Xenopus tropicalis: one gene and its partner. The protein of the gene in region 2 interacts with the protein of the main gene of each other region in a biochemical or structural test. Links are inferred from orthologs where the notes say so. Each region holds a gene or a part of one and is shown on either strand. Other genes may lie near its edges.

What was found. The genes of interacting proteins can lie anywhere in the genome.
Region 1: the proteins of dnm1 (region 2) and itsn1 form a complex in vitro, tested with the Homo sapiens proteins (2 studies listed by BioGRID and IntAct, with this or other methods). The link is inferred for Xenopus tropicalis from reciprocal best matches to the Homo sapiens genes DNM1 and ITSN1.

The regions. Positions count from the first base shown.
Region 1 is NC_030678.2:14,210,683-14,218,417, reverse strand, and holds part of itsn1 (intersectin-1), read right to left. Parts: coding exon 7,712-7,735; intron 3,367-7,711; coding exon 3,260-3,366; intron 3,047-3,259; coding exon 2,863-3,046; intron 1,709-2,862; coding exon 1,610-1,708; intron 1,377-1,609; coding exon 1,209-1,376; intron 126-1,208; coding exon 1-125. UniProt on the Homo sapiens protein: Adapter protein that provides a link between the endocytic membrane traffic and the actin assembly machinery. Acts as a guanine nucleotide exchange factor (GEF) for CDC42, and thereby stimulates actin nucleation mediated by WASL and the ARP2/3 complex.
Region 2 is NC_030684.2:22,789,274-22,797,684, forward strand, and holds the start of dnm1 (dynamin-1), read right to left. Parts: upstream 4,868-8,411; 5' UTR 4,694-4,867; coding exon 4,533-4,693; intron 1-4,532. UniProt on the Homo sapiens protein: Catalyzes the hydrolysis of GTP and utilizes this energy to mediate vesicle scission and participates in many forms of endocytosis, such as clathrin-mediated endocytosis or synaptic vesicle endocytosis as well as rapid endocytosis (RE).

The DNA of each region.
Region 1 (7,735 bases), on a different chromosome or scaffold from region 2:
AGCAGCAGGAAGTCGTTGAACAGGAAGCCGTATAGTTCCTTGTTGCTCTTGGCTTTGTACAGTTTCCCACTGTGCAGGAACTTGCGTGGGCCCAGGCAGTTTGTAACAGAGTTAAATACTAATTGCTGGAGAAAAAGGGGGAGGAAATTATTATGTAGGGAGATGCTGAATGTGCAGGAATCCTTACTACTTTGCCTTTATACCTGCAACCTGGTGGGTCTCACTGGGCAATGAGTGGGTCACACTCCCAGGATTCCCTGCTGCCTTAGTACTTCAGCCAATCCCAATGTTATCAGCTCAAGGCCCCCAGTCTGGCACACAGGAAATACCTCACTTTGTGGCATACCAAGACACAGAGTCCTATAGCTAATTACTGTACAGAGCTGATATGGGCCCATTAGCTGGGTACTGTACAGAGCTGATATGGGCCCATTAGCTGAGTACTGTACAGAGCTGATATGGGCCCATTAGCTGAGTACTGTACAGAGCTGATATGGGCCCATTAGCTGGGTACTGTACAGAGCTGATATGGGCCCATTAGCTGAGTACTGTACAGAGCACTGATATGGGCCCATTAGCTGGGTACTGTACAGAGCTGATATGGGCCCATTAGCTGAGTACTGTACAGAGCACTGATATGGGCCCATTAGCTGGGTACTGTACAGAGCTGATATGGGCCCATTAGCTGGGTACTGTACAGAGCTGATATGGGCCCATTAGCTGGGTACTGTACAGAGCTGATATGGGCCCATTAGCTGAGTACTGTACAGAGCTGATATGGGCCCATTAGCTGAGTACTGTACAGAGCTGATATGGGCCCATTAGCTGGGTACTGTACAGAGCTGATATGGGCCCATTAGCTGGGTACTGTACAGAGCTGATATGGGCCCATTAGCTGGGTACTGTACAGAGCTGATATGGGCCCATTAGCTGAGTACTGTACAGAGCTGATATGGGCCCATTAGCTGGGTACTGTACAGAGCTGATATGGGCCCATTAGCTGAGTACTGTACAGAGCTGATATGGGCCCATTAGCTGAGTACTGTACAGAGATGATATGGGCCCATTAGCTGAGTACTGTACAGAGCTGATATGGGCCCATTAGCTGAGTACTGTACAGAGCTGATATGGGCCCATTAGCTGAGTACTGTACAGAGCACCTGGGCCCGTTAGGCTCCCTACCCGGCCGGCTGGACTACAGGACGTACCTCAGACAAACCCTCACACTGAACGTGCGCCTGAATCCACTCCAGTCGGTCTGAGTTTTCCTTCTCCCGAACCCCCTCATTCACTTGGGAACATAATTCTTCGGCTTTCTCTAGGGCTTGCTTCAGGTGGCTGTGGTCAGGGTGATTTTCTGGAGTATTTTCAATAATCTGCAAAACAGAAAATTAATACATATCATAAGTACAGATTATTAATCAAGGCTTCAGCCCATTATCAGTAATGAGTTGCGCTGGTGCTTATAATGCTAATGTGCTGCCGTACAGAAGGTACAGTTGGGGGGTACAGCGGGGGGCACAGCGGGGGGCACTTACACATACAGATCTGATGTTACAGATAGAAGCTAAAGTTTGGGGCACATTTAGAAAAACAAAAGGTTCCATACATTTTTAATGATGAGCGGGTATCTGGTTACTCTCTGCATGGGTTTGAGTAGGAAGCTGGACAGCGGCATTCCCTTACACCGGGGATCCATTGCAAGCCTCTGAAATGACAAGATTAAATGCATTTATATGTAACAGTCAAAAACATTTGTACAAAGGGGCAATATCCCTGCAGCGACCTCTACAGCCTAAAACATTGGTTTCTGGGTGTCTATGGTTGATGCCCTGTTTTGAGGCCCAACATTTGCTCTGGGGTTTCTCCCAACAAGGTTCCCAACATGACACCAGTGATCACACAGGAGTCCAAGGACTCAGTTAGTGGTTGTTATTTTACAAATTTATCCATGGGTGTGGGGAAGGGGGGGCTCTCTAATTTGTTCCCAGGACTTTAGGGTAGGTCTGAGATTTCCAGTTCATAGATATGGTCTGCTTTGCATACAGGCACAGTATAGATAATAGAGTCTGATGTGCCCTTTTGGGGCAAAATGTCTTTCATCTGGTACCATGGGGTCTATTGGTAAGGATAGATCTGTCTTAATATTGATCCGGTCTAGTAACTGAATTTATGGGCAAGACGATTCCATGTGTATAAATTCCGCTGAGGAGCATTAACATTGTGGACATTCTGGACTTAGTTCTGTGTTCATTCTGCATCACACTGGGTTTATAGAAGTATAAGAAAGCTAATAGGCATTCCCCCCAAAACTCATCTACCTGCCCTCAGGCCAGGCCCGGACTGGAAATCTGTAGGTTCAGGCAAATGCCAGAGGGGCTGCTGTAAGATTCCATAGACACTCACTATTTATTGAGCCGGGGGGGGGGGGGTGTGGTTTGTGCCTCTGTGTACTGGGAATGCCAGGGCCTATTTGGAATCCCAGTCCAGACCTGCTTCAGGCAGGGCCCACCGATTCCAAACTGGGGGTCCAGCTGAAGAGTTTGGAACCAATGCTCTAAACACACAATGTGCCCATTTAGTAGGAAGTCTTTGAGGCAGGGAGGCCGGGGAGAATGAAAGGCCGGGGGATGCAAGAAACTGTAGGAGATAAAAGATGAAGGGGTGAGAAGAGAGGCAGGAAGGGCAGGTAGGATCGGTGCAGGGGAGAAGCCAATACAGGGATAAAGAGATTTCCCCTGGTAAATAAAACATCCTGTGACTTTCTGTGCCAGGGAATGGCAACCCTCTGCATTTAGGCTTGGAAGCACAATAATACCCGCCGCCTGTGTGGTTATTAGGGGGGGCACATGAATCACTTACTTTCACAAACTCCTTGAACTCGGGCACCTCGTCCGTTTTCTGCTGAATGAGAGCGGCGCCGTTGAGCTGGCAGCTGCAGAAGCGAATGTACGGCTGCATGTGGGGCAACTGGGCCGTCAGGATGTCCCCGATCATCTTCACCGGCATCTTCTCCCCAGACATTTTCTTGCGAACTCGCAAGGCCCTGGGAGTGACAGAAACAAACTCTAATTATTACCCGTTTTAGCCATATTGTGCCAGTCTGGGCACCAGTCAGACCAATGTTACAATGTGTAACAACTGCTAATATCATGACAACTAGAAAAAAAACCATATTAAATGTAAATGGTAAAAATGCTTAGATCATCCAATCAAAGTACAAAGCAATATTCTAGGCTAAGTGCCCAGAGGATCTTACTTGAGCAGTTTGATATTGCACATTATCAGCTCCTTCCAGTTGACAAAAATCATGGCAACTTCCTTCTCCGTCAGTAATTCAGATTCCAGCAGAGGCTTTTGGAATGTCTGTGTTGTACAGGGGGAAACAGGGTGCACTGATAATTGGCGGCGATAAAAACCAGTTAATTGGTACTAGTACCTGTGATAATATAGCACAAAGTCACGCCAGTATGGCTAGCTGTTAGTTATAGGGTTAGTTTACCTTTAAATTGACTTTTAGCCTGACATGGACATTAATGTTCTGAGACAATTTGCAACTGGTTTTCATTTTTTATGGTTTTTCAGTTATTTAGCTTTTTGTCCGGCAGCTCTCCAGCTTGTAATTTCAGCAACTATCTGGTTGCTAGGGTCTTGATTACCTTAGCAACCAAGCAGTGGTATAAATGAAAAACTGAATTATGAACAGAAGAATACAAATTAAAAGTAACAATAATAATAATAATAATAACACTGTAAGCTCACAGAACAATTGTTTGGTTTTGGCTGCGGTTGTGGAAAGATGTAGAAAAGGAACAGAAATAATGCAAAAACTATAAAAAATAAAAAATGAAGACCAACTGCAAAGTTGCTAGGAACAGAATATTCTATAACATACTAAAAGTTAAACAATCCGTTTAAAAAAGAAGCAGCTGCCTATAAGAACTCATTCTGGACTGAGTGTTTAATTAGCTTAGGTAAAAATCCATAGAAATGCAGGTACAGGTATTGGAATCCTTATCCAGATCCCATTATCCAGAAAGTTCCGAATTACACAAGACCATCTTCCATAGTCTTCACATTTTTAAAAATGATTCCTTTTTCTCTGTAATAATAAAACAGTACCTGTACTTGATCCCAACTAAGATATAATTACCCCTTATTGGGGCAGAACAGCCCTATTGGGTTTATTTAATGGTTAAATGATTCCCTTTTCTCTGTAATAATAAAACAGTACCTGTACTTGATCCCAACTAAGATATAATTACCCCTTATTGGGGCAGAACAGCCCTATTGGGTTTATTTAATGGTTAAATGATTCCCTATTCTCTGTAATAATAAAACAGTACCTGTACTTGATCCCAACTAAGATATAATTACCCCTAATTGGGGGCAGAACAGCCCTATTGGGTTTATTTAATGGTTAAATGATTCCCTTTTCTCTGTAATAATAAAACAGTACCTGTACTTGATCCCAACTAAGATATAATTACCCCTTATTGGGGCAGAACAGCCCTATTGGGTTTATTTCATGGTTAAATGATTCCCTTTTCTCTGTAATAATAAAACAGTACCTGTACTTGATCCCAACTAAGATATAATTACCCCTAATTGGGGGCAGAACAGCCATATTGGGTTTATTTCATGTTTAAATTATTTTTTTTTTTAGCAGTCTTAAGGTAAGAGATCTGAATTATGGAGAGATCCCTTATCTGGAAAACCCCAGGTCCCAAGCATAACAGGTCCCATACCTGTACTAAGAAACAATTGCATTAATGACTAAAATGTGAGCCAATCATAGCCTTACATAGAACTATATGGTGTCAGTTGCCCAATAACAGAATACTGATAGAAATCCCTGTGTCTTTGCAAATTTATTGACAAATGGTGGCTCCAGGATGGATGGGTTGGAAAGAAATCCCGTATCCAGTAACTGGGAGTATGGCGGTTGTACGGACGCTCAAGTAGGGAGTCAGGAAGCAGCCTTGCCTGTAGGGAATGAGCAGCCTTGCCTGTAGGGAATGAGCAGCCTTGCCTGTAGGGAATGAGCAGCCTTGCCTGTAGGGAATGAGCAGCCTTGCCTGTAGGGAATGAGCAGCCTTGCCTGTAGGGAATGAGCAGCCTTGCCTGTAGGGAATGAGCAGCCTTGCCTGTAGGGAATGAGCAGCCTTGCCTGTAGGGAATGAGCAGCCTTGCCTGTAGGGAATGAGCAGCCTTGCCTGTAGGGAATGAGCAGCCTTGCCTGTAGGGAATGTGCAGCCTTGCCTGTAGGGAATGAGCAGCCTTGCCTGTAGGGAATGTGCAGCCTTGCCTGTAGGGAATGTGCAGCCTTGCCTGTAGGGAATGAGCAGCCTTGCCTTTAGGGAATGAGCAGCCTTGCCTGTAGGGAATGAGCAGCCTTGCCTGTAGGGAATGAGCAGCCTTGCCTGTAGGGAATGTGCAGCCTTGCCTGTAGGGAATGAGCAGCCTTGCCTTTAGGGAATGAGCAGCCTTGCCTGTAGGGAATGAGCAGCCTTGCCTGTAGGGAATGAGCAGCCTTGCCTGTAGGGAATGAGCAGCCTTGCCTGTAGGGAATGAGCAGCCTTGCCTGTAGGGAATGAGCAGCCTTGCCTGTAGGGAATGAGCAGCCTTGCCTGTAGGGAATGAGCAGCCTTGCCTGTAGGGAATGAGCAGCCTTGCCTGTAGGGAATGAGCAGCCTTGCCTGTAGGGAATGAGCAGCCTTGCCTGTAGGGAATGAGCAGCCTTGCCTGTAGGGAATGTGCAGCCTTGCCTGTTGGGAATGTGCAGCCTTGCCTGTAGGGAATGAGCAGCCTTGCCTGTAGGGAATGAGCAGCCTTGCCTGTAGGGAATGAGCAGCCTTGCCTGTAGGGAATGAGCAGCCTTGCCTTTAGGGAATGAGCAGCCTTGCCTGTAGGGAATGAGCAGCCTTGCCTGTAGGGAATGAGCAGCCTTGCCTGTAGGGAATGTGCAGCCTTGCCTGTTGGGAATGTGCAGCCTTGCCTGTAGGGAATGAGCAGCCTTGCCTGTAGGGAATGAGCAGCCTTGCCTGTAGGGAATGTGCAGCCTTGCCTGTTGGGAATGTGCAGCCTTGCCTGTAGGGAATGAGCAGCCTTGCCTTTAGGGAATGTGCAGCCTTGCCTGTAGGGAATGAGCAGCCTTGCCTGTAGGGAATGTGCAGCCTTGCCTGTAGGGAATGAGCAGCCTTGCCTGTAGGGAATGAGCAGCCTTGCCTGTAGGGAATGAGCAGCCTTGCCTGTAGGGAATGAGCAGCCTTGCCTGCAGGGAATGAGCAGCCTTGCCTGTAGGGAATGAGCAGCCTTGCCTGTAGGGAATGTGCAGCCTTGCCTGTAGGGAATGAGCAGCCTTGCCTTTAGGGAATGTGCAGCCTTGCCTTTAGGGAATGTGCAGCCTTGCCTGTAGGGAATGAGCAGCCTTGCCTGTAGGGAATGTGCAGCCTTGCCTGTAGGGAATGAGCAGCCTTGCCTGTAGGGAATGAGCAGCCTTGCCTGTAGGGAATGAGCAGCCTTGCCTGTAGGGAATGAGCAGCCTTGCCTTTAGGGAATGTGCAGCCTTGCCTGTAGGGAATGTGCAGCCTTGCCTGTAGGGAATGAGCAGCCTTGCCTGTAGGGAATGTGCAGCCTTGCCTGTAGGGAATGAGCAGCCTTGCCTGTAGGGAATGTGCAGCCTTGCCTGTAGGGAATGTGCAGCCTTGCCTGTAGGGAATGTGCAGCCTTGCCTGTAGGGAATGTGCAGCCTTGCCTGTAGGGAATGTGCAGCCTTGCCTGTAGGGAATGTGCAGCCTTGCCTTTAGGGAATGTGCAGCCTTGCCTGTAGGGAATGAGCAGCCTTGCCTGTAGGGAATGAGCAGCCTTGCCTGTAGGGAATGAGCAGCCTTGCCTGTAGGGAATGTGCAGCCTTGCCTTTAGGGAATGTGCAGCCTTGCCTGTAGGGAATGAGCAGCCTTGCCTGTAGGGAATGAGCAGCCTTGCCTGTAGGGAATGTGCAGCCTTGCCTGTAGGGAATGTGCAGCCTTGCCTGTAGGGAATGTGCAGCCTTGCCTGTAGGGAATGTGCAGCCTTGCCTGTAGGGAATGTGCAGCCTTGCCTTTAGGGAATGTGCAGCCTTGCCTGTAGGGAATGAGCAGCCTTGCCTGTAGGGAATGAGCAGCCTTGCCTGTAGGGAATGTGCAGCCTTGCCTTTAGGGAATGTGCAGCCTTGCCTGTAGGGAATGAGCAGCCTTGCCTGTAGGGAATGAGCAGCCTTGCCTGTAGGGAATGAGCAGCCTTGCCTGTAGGGAATGTGCAGCCTTGCCTTTAGGGAATGTGCAGCCTTGCCTGTAGGGAATGAGCAGCCTTGCCTGTAGGGAATGTGCAGCCTTGCCTTTAGGGAATGTGCAGCCTTGCCTGTAGGGAATGAGCAGCCTTGCCTGTAGGGAATGAGCAGCCTTGCCTGTAGGGAATGAGCAGCCTTGCCTGTAGGGAATGAGCAGCCTTGCCTGTAGGGAATGTGCAGCCTTGCCTTTAGGGAATGTGCAGCCTTGCCTGTAGGGAATGAGCAGCCTTGCCTGTAGGGAATGAGCAGCCTTGCCTGTAGGGAATGAGCAGCCTTGCCTGTAGGGAATGAGCAGCCTTGCCTGTAGGGAATGAGCAGCCTTGCCTGTAGGGAATGAGCAGCCTTGCCTGTAGGGAATGAGCAGCCCGCGGCTAAACGTACCTCGGTGACTAACTGTAAGTCATT
Region 2 (8,411 bases):
GCTTTAAACCAATATGTCAGCGTAGGTTTCCCCCACCACCCAATAACATACAGGCAAGTTAATTGGCTCCTGATAAAACTGCCCCAGTGTGTGACTGTGATAGGGACCTTAGATTGTAAACTCCAATAACATAATATATTTCTTGCATACAGTAAAACTCCAGTTATAGCCAAATATGGGAAAATGTATATTTATGGAAATGTGTCAAAGCAACAAAAGCTTCCAGTATTTAAAGTTAATGAGCTCAAAAATAATTTTCCCCTGTCATTGCCTGTACTTTCCTTTGTAGATAGAAAGCAGTTTGTCTCTGATGTGCTAACACTATTGTCACAGCCTTTGCATGACTTCTTGTACGTCACGTGTCCAGCCTGTCTAAATACATGATTTACAGGTAGCCATAATAGATGCAAATAACCCAGAATTCTGTATTTCTAGGAAAAAACAGCTTTGTTATCTAACTGGTATCATTACAGAAAACTCGTACAAAATATTGGTGCAAAATGAGGGAAAAGAAGATGAAAAGCACCCAATGGAATCTATGGGAACGCAGGAAGTTAAATGTGGGGTTTGGCTGTAAATATGCATCCTGCACCCTTTATATATTCTAAAATCTGTGGAGGGACCAATATTAGACATAGATGGGTACAGAGGTCATTGCTGGAGACGGTAAGGTCCCCCATATTGAACCTCCACTGGGATGTCATTAGCGTATCTGCATCATGTTACTTGTTTCTATGGCAATCATATGCCAAACTGGTTATTTCTACCAGGCACCAGGTTTCATTTACACTGCAGCAACATATAAACTGCACAATACTGATCCTGATTAGTTAATATGGGTTATTGAACTGTGGGGGGGGGGGGGGGGGGGGGGGGGGCACTATGCACTTTTGTTAGTAAATGAGGGTCACAGTAATGGACACAAAGGGTAAATCTGTCAGTGCTACCATGAAACACGTAATTAAAGGGATAGAACATGCATGTTATTGACAAGCAGATGCCTGCAAGAAACACAAATGATGGTCTAGAGGGGTTGGGTGTTCTTGGTACAACATGGAAGCAACCATGCTCTTAGTATTGGGGCCCTGACCCATGACATTGCTGATTTTACTATACTATGCATGTAAATGGCCCTGGGCAGCCACAAGAGTTCCATGGACCCTGCCGTGACAGTGCAGTGCTTAGAGGAAATCTACAAGCATACAAAAAGAGAGGGGGATTGATCAATGCACATTCCCTGGTCCCCTGTTTCATAATTAAATTGTCTATGCTAGTGCATGTATTTACAAAAAACAGGGGGTTTTAGTTACAAAGTTATGATCATAAGATTGGTAAGCCACCATACCACGTTAAGGTAAACCCAGTATGGTGGTCCATTTATTTATTTATGGTGGTCCATTTATTTACCTCTGGTCATATTTTTCAAAGACTGCCATTCTTGACCTGGGGGCTGGTTTGAGTCAGAGGGCGTAGTCACTCCCATGCCTTCAGCTTTTATAGGGAGAGATTGCCAGGACCACAGTTTGGTCCTACAGGCTTGCAGCTTGTAAAGGAGAAGACTGCCCATTATCCAACACCCATTTTTTTAAAGGCATAAGACCACCATTAAAGGGACAGGTGTGGGGGTGCTACACCCACATGGAAGTAAGCCATTCTTCCTGCAGAATAACTCTGCTAAAATACATAGATACAAAAAGGAAATCTACCCTGTGCTGGTGCTTTTTTTCAGGGGAGAGGGGTAACAGTTTGAGATCCAAGTGACAATATTCACAGTGAATGTCTAACAAATTAGCACCCACTAGTTACACTTTGCTACCACCAATATACGCTATCATAATGGCTGAACATACAAAGTGCTGTGCATTGTCTATACATATGAATACAAGGCTGGCAAAGCACATACTGCTCGGTTCTAGCTTATAGGCCTTCAGCTACTGTCCAACTACAAATCCCAGAATCTTACCCCCCAGAAAGCCTTGGTCTGCATATAGCTGTAATGCCAACAGCGGCTGAGGGGATACAGACTGAAAGGTCTTTTTGCCATCATGTCTTCTCTTACTATATCCATCAGCTGCATCCCTAGAAGTTACTGCCCCCTTGGGAACTTTATATAAGAAAACTTTATTCATTTTGTATCAGTCAGTGGCCCATCTGCCTCCCCCAAAGGTTGCTGCCTTCCTCCTCTTTACCCACTATGCCCCCAGCCTTTTCCTACAACTGTTTGGCCCTTATATTGACCTCCCTAATTAGATATCTCAGTATATATATATATATATATATATATATATATATATATATATATATATATATATATATATATATATATATATATATATATAGAAAAAGGCTGAGGCACACACTTATAGGGATTACAACCTGGGTGCAAATCAGATAAACAATGTAAATATGTAAAAAATGCTGATGCACACCAGGAACATTTAATCAAAAAAAGATACTTATTTTATTTAGATCAAATAAAATATATATTTGCCTATTACACCCCCCCCCCCCAAAAAAAAATAACCCCCCACGTCCTTAGCACATAGAGATTATACAGCCAGGGTAAAGCACAAATCTCCTGCTGGTTACAGGAGCAGCTGGTATCCCTTATTGCTTCCAGCTCTCTCCAGAGACTGCGCTCACAGCCTGTAATCTCATTTAACCCTACAGTTCATTTGGAGGCTTTGCTAGTGTAAAGCAGGTAGCAGAGTAATTAAGCGCAACACATAGCTATTGGCTAATCACCCAGCATCTGATTTGCCATTACTAATTAAAGGGACATTTCCAACCCAAGACCTTTTTTGGAATCTCTAACCCAAAACCTTCTGTTGTGGATGTGGCTGTTTATATTCTCTGCACTGCTGGTTGTGACTGCTCAGGGCTGCCACAATGGATCCCTGGGGCAAGACAGAAGATGGCAGCTCAACTGTACTCAACAGGCCGGGCATTTTTCAGCAATGAGAAGTACTGGCCCAGGGTCTGAGGTTACCCAATACATTCACTGGGGACACCTAACAAATTAACCCCCCCCCCAACGAGCAACCCTTTTCCTTCTTTTCACAGGCTATTGCATTTACATATAACTTTCAAACCACTGACAGTGAAAAGTTGCATAGAATTACTTTTTCATTAATTAGATAAAGACATTGTATTTGGCTGTAGTTCCCCTTTAAGGCTATGTAATATGATAATTGTACAGCATAGCCTTGTTCCTGCTCAGGTTTAAAGCTCTGGGGCACATCCTGTTTAACAGAGACAAAATATTTATTCAGTGCAGAATCCCTGCACCTTTTTCCCATGTCAGTATCCAATTCCATCTGACCCCTTCAGTCAAATACATAGGGACGGTGCCTACTACTCCCAGTGTCACCTTGAGGAGCCAGCACTCCCTGCAACTGATTAACGCCAGTCCAACTGCACCATCACTGCCTAATGCACCAACCAGGGATATCCCATCACAACCAAGCAATACACATAATGATTGCAGCGTCAGCCTGGCAGATCCATTGAGCCATTACTCCATGTGTGTGTGTGTATATAAAGATAGATAGATAGATAGATAGATAGATGATAGATAGATAGATAGATGATAGATAGATAGATAGATAGATAGATAGATATATAGATAGATAGATAGATGATAGATAGCTTCCATATGTCTCTGCAGGCTGGAAGGAGTCCCAATGTATTTGTCAATGTAAACAAAATGCCGTCACATTAGAATTGATATAGAGGGCGCTTTATTTATTTTAAATAGGATACTTATATTAAGTAGGAAGGGGGGGGGGGGCAACTGCTTGGTCTAAAAAAGAAAGGTGCCTTAAGCCCCAAAAGACAGACGTCCTATGTCTTAGCCCAAAAACAAATAATACTGCAGTGCCAGTTAAAGGTGCCCTTAACGCAAAGGCTTCATTCAATTCATCCCTCATCTTTGTATCATGTATTTGCCTAGTTCTGCTCTGTACAGCAATGGGCTGTATATGGACTTTATATCAAGGCATATTTACCCCCTGTATAAGCAGACTGATAACATTGGTCCTATAATTCCCCCCCCTCCCCCTTCCTTCATTGCAGAAGAGACACACTGTATCCTATAACACCTCCCCCATCTTTATTTCTCCATTCCTCTCCATTCGCCCCTATAAAGCATGTTTATATCCATGCATCCTAGGTACCCCGCTAATAATATACAGTCAGGGACCCCCAGGATGCCCTGCTGGGCGATGCCATGGAATGCCTGTTCTGTACAAGGACAATGCCATATCTGATGACCCCTCTCTGTGCTGTGCCTGTTGGACAAGGTGAATCCTACCCTTGGGTCTCAGATTGCACACATATCCATTATTCATCGTTATTCTATTCGACCAGATCGCGATAAAACGTTCTAGGCAACAGATCGCGATAATAAAATGCCAAATAAAGCCCAGTCGCCATTGAATGATATCTGCTAATAAACATATTATACTGCCCCCCTCCTCATCTCCTTAGGTTATTATAATGCGGGTAGGTGAGCCATCATCTTCCTTACTTACTTGCCAACGAAATTCTCCAGAACCGAGCTCTTTCCAGCGCTCTGACCCCCAACCACAGCGATCTGTGGCAGGTCCAGGTTGGCATTTTGTCCTATGGATGAAAAGGCATCTTGAAGCCGGTTAACCAGAGGAATCAGCTCCTCCATTCCTCGGTTGCCCATGATGGAAGGCTGCCTTGTGTCTGCCTCAGCCTGGGAACGTCGATCTAATATGCTTCTTACACCTTTTCCCCAGTGACAGAGAAAGGCAGCGGGGACAGATGTGTAGGACCCCCTAAGATCGACGTTCTCCTGCTTCTCCTCCTCCTGGATGTGCGCTCTGCGCCTTCCCCAGACTGCCAACTCAAGCGCATACGCTGCTCCTTAGGGATTTAAACGGCAATGTGCAACTGCTGCCACAAGAGGGAGCCTAATGCTAAGGAGTGTGCGCTAAGGCAGCACTGACAGGATGATGAGGGGGTGGGATTTTAACTGCATTTTGCTTCTTCCGCCACTAGAGGGAGCGTCATGCTAAAGAGTATGCGCTAAGGGTGCAGCAAAGTGTAATGTGGATTGTGTAGTGACAGATTGTCACTTGCAGCAATGCTGTCAACAAAGGTGGCTCATGTGCAAATATGCCTTTCTTGGTACACCAGGAACTGGAAGAAAGCTTTAGCCCCAGATGATGTAGAAAGGAACAGATATTGTATAAAAAGCCGGGTTAGGGGGAGCCCTATTACTAACCCTGAAATTCAATATAGGGGCCTTCTTACACTTAGGGTTGCCACCTTTTGTGGTAAAATATATTTTCTATGTATTTAGTTTCTCCATTAATAACATGGGGATCAAGCATAATTTTTACCAGCCAGACTGGTAAAATAGCAACAAGGTGGCAACCCTAATTATACCAGGACTCATCAAAAACACTCCAAATCAAGGCAGGAAGTATAAGCCAGCACTCACTGATTGCTACACTCCTTCTGCACATGAGTTTATGTAACCCTTTAACAGCTTTTGTGCCACCAGTAATCAAATTTTTAGGCACGCTTGAAGAAGTAAATGACCCCCTTCCTCTCCATACTGTTGTAAAAATGTTTCAGCATCTGATCCGAACAAGGACAGGATTTGCCTTCCCAGAAGTGAGTGCTCTGTTCCTGGGATTTCACTGGGAGTGTTGATTCAGCATCATATATAAATGTTATGTACTATATACAGGCACAGATATAATACCCATCTGCCATGCATGGCAAATATGTGATGTATAAATTTACATGCCTGCTCTGAGACAGCTTTTATTGAACTGGCCTGCTAGTGCCACCTGCTGGCTGAAGCTGAGATTGCAGCATATGTACTATTCTCCCCCTCCATTCTTACAATGGAGTCATTCTATAGCAGGGGTTGGGAACCTTTTTGGCTGAGAGAGCCATAAACACCACATATTTTAAAATGTAATTCCACGAGAGCCATACAATATGTTTGGCCGCGGATGCTGCGGGGCAAGGTAGGGTGTGTCCCAAGGATGCCGGATGCGGAGGAGGGTGTGGCCTGCGCTCGGTGGATAAAAGATGTGTTCTAAGGCTTAGAACATATCTTCTATCCGCCGAGCGCAGGCCACACCCCCGTTATTTATTTTATTAAAGAGTTGGCAGCGAGCCAGATGCAGCCATCAAAAGAGCCACATCTGGCTCTCGAGCCATAGGTTCCCTACCCCTGTTCTATAGGGTTATTACCTACACAATGTACCTGTCATTGCCTTTATCCTACTGTTAGGTAGGTACAGGTATGGGATCTCTGATCTGGAAACCCAATATCCAAAAACTATTATGGGAAGGTCATCGTTCATAGACTCCCTTGTACTTTATCCTGAGAAAGAGATCATGAATTGGTGGCAAAACAATCCTACTGGGTGGTCAGGTTAACTTTTAGTATGCTATAGAATGGCCTCTTCTTAGCAACTTTTTAATTGGTCTTCATTTTTTATTTTGTATAGTTTTTTTTTAATTATTAGCTTCTTCTGACTCATTCCAGCTTTCAAATGAGGGTCACTGACCCCAGAAGCCAAAAAACTATTGCTCTGTGAGGCTACAGTTGTATTGTTATTGTTCCTTTTTATTACTTATCTTTTTATTTAGGTCCTCATCTATTCATATTCCTGTCTCTCTTTCAAATCACTGCCTGGTTGCTAGGTCAAATTGGACCATAGCAACCAGATAGTTGTCAAAAATCGCAAATAATAAAAACAATTACAATTTTTATTAGAATAGCATTCTCTACGTCAAACTAAAAATTATTGTATAGGAGGCTAAATTTATGGTGATCCAAATTACAGAAAGATGCCTTATCCAAAAAAAACCCAGGTCCCAAGCATTCTGGATAAAAGGTTAAAAGGTCCCATGCTGCACTTTTTATTATAAGGAAGGAGAAAATTATATTCTAACTCTTAAGTAACCAACACAAAGAAATCTAACAGATGAAATTTAACTAAATCCACCCACACCATCAGCTGTGTGACATTCACTGCCATCTCTCTGCATATTTGTATTTATACATATTGTTTCCCTTAGACAGTAGAGCATGAGGGTATAGCTTATTGTGTGCCCAGAACATTCCTTCTCTGTATATTTGTATTTATACATATGTGAGGGAGGTACCATATTCTTTCCCTTAGACAGAACAGTATGAGGGTACAGCTGATTGTGTGCCCAGAACATTCCTTCTCTGTATATTTGTATTTATACATATGGGAGGGAGGTGCCATATTCTTTTCCTTAGACAGTATAGTATGAGGGTACAGCTTATTGTGTACCCAGAACATTCCTTCTCTGTATATTTGTATTTATACATACGAGAGGAAGGTGCCATATTGTTTCCCTTAGACAGTACAGTATGAGGGTACAGCTTATTGTGTGCCCAGAACATTCCTTCTCTGTATATTTGTATTTATACATATGGGAGGGAGGTGCCATATTCTTTTCCTTAGACCGTACAGTATGAGTGTACAGCTTATTGTGTGCCCAGAACATTCCTCTGTATATTTGCATGTATACATCTGGGGGAGGTGCCATTTGCCATGGTGTAATATGGCAGTAGGGGGAGCACCAGAGTGACCTGCTGGGGAAATCTGTTCTTATTCTCCTGTTTTCTGAGGTGCTATGAAAGGGCTGAGTCCTTGTCATAACATATGGTCGCCGTGCAGAGCAGCAGATGGTAGGAGAATATTCCTGCAGCTCAGCCCAATGTTGATCTGTTCTTTACCAATGGGGCTATTCATAATGCACTGACCAAAAATGTCCAAAGCAGAGTGGCAAATAAGCTATAAATCAAGCATAGATAATGGCCCACTAGCACAGGCAGCAAAAGTTCCTAAGCAAGTAGTCAGGCAGAGGTTGGGACATGCAGCAAAGGTTCCTAAGCAAGAAGTCAGGCAGAGGTTGGGACATGCAGCAAAGGTTCCTAAGCAAGAAGTCAAGCAGAGGTTGGGGCAGGCAGCAATAGTTCCCTAAGCAAGAAGTCAGGCAGAGGTTGGGACATGCAGCAAAGGTTCCTAAGCAAGAAGTCAAGCAGAGGTTGGGGCAGGCAGCAATAGTTCCCTAAGCAAGAAGCCAGGCAGAGGTTGGGGCAGACAGGAAAGGTTCCTAAGCAAGAAGTCGGGCAAAGGTTGGGACATGCAGCAAAGGTTCCTAAGCAAGAAGTCACACAGAGGTTGGGGCAGGCAGCAAAGGTTCCTAAGCAAGAAGCCAGGCAGAGGTTCGGGCAGGCAGCAAAGGTTCCTGAGCAAGAAGTCAGGCAGAGGTTGGGACAGGCAGCAAAGGTTCCTGAGCAAGAAGTCAGGCAGAGGTTGGGGCAGGCAGCAAAAGTTCCTGAGCAAGAAGTCAGGCAGAGGTTGGGACAGGCAGCAAAG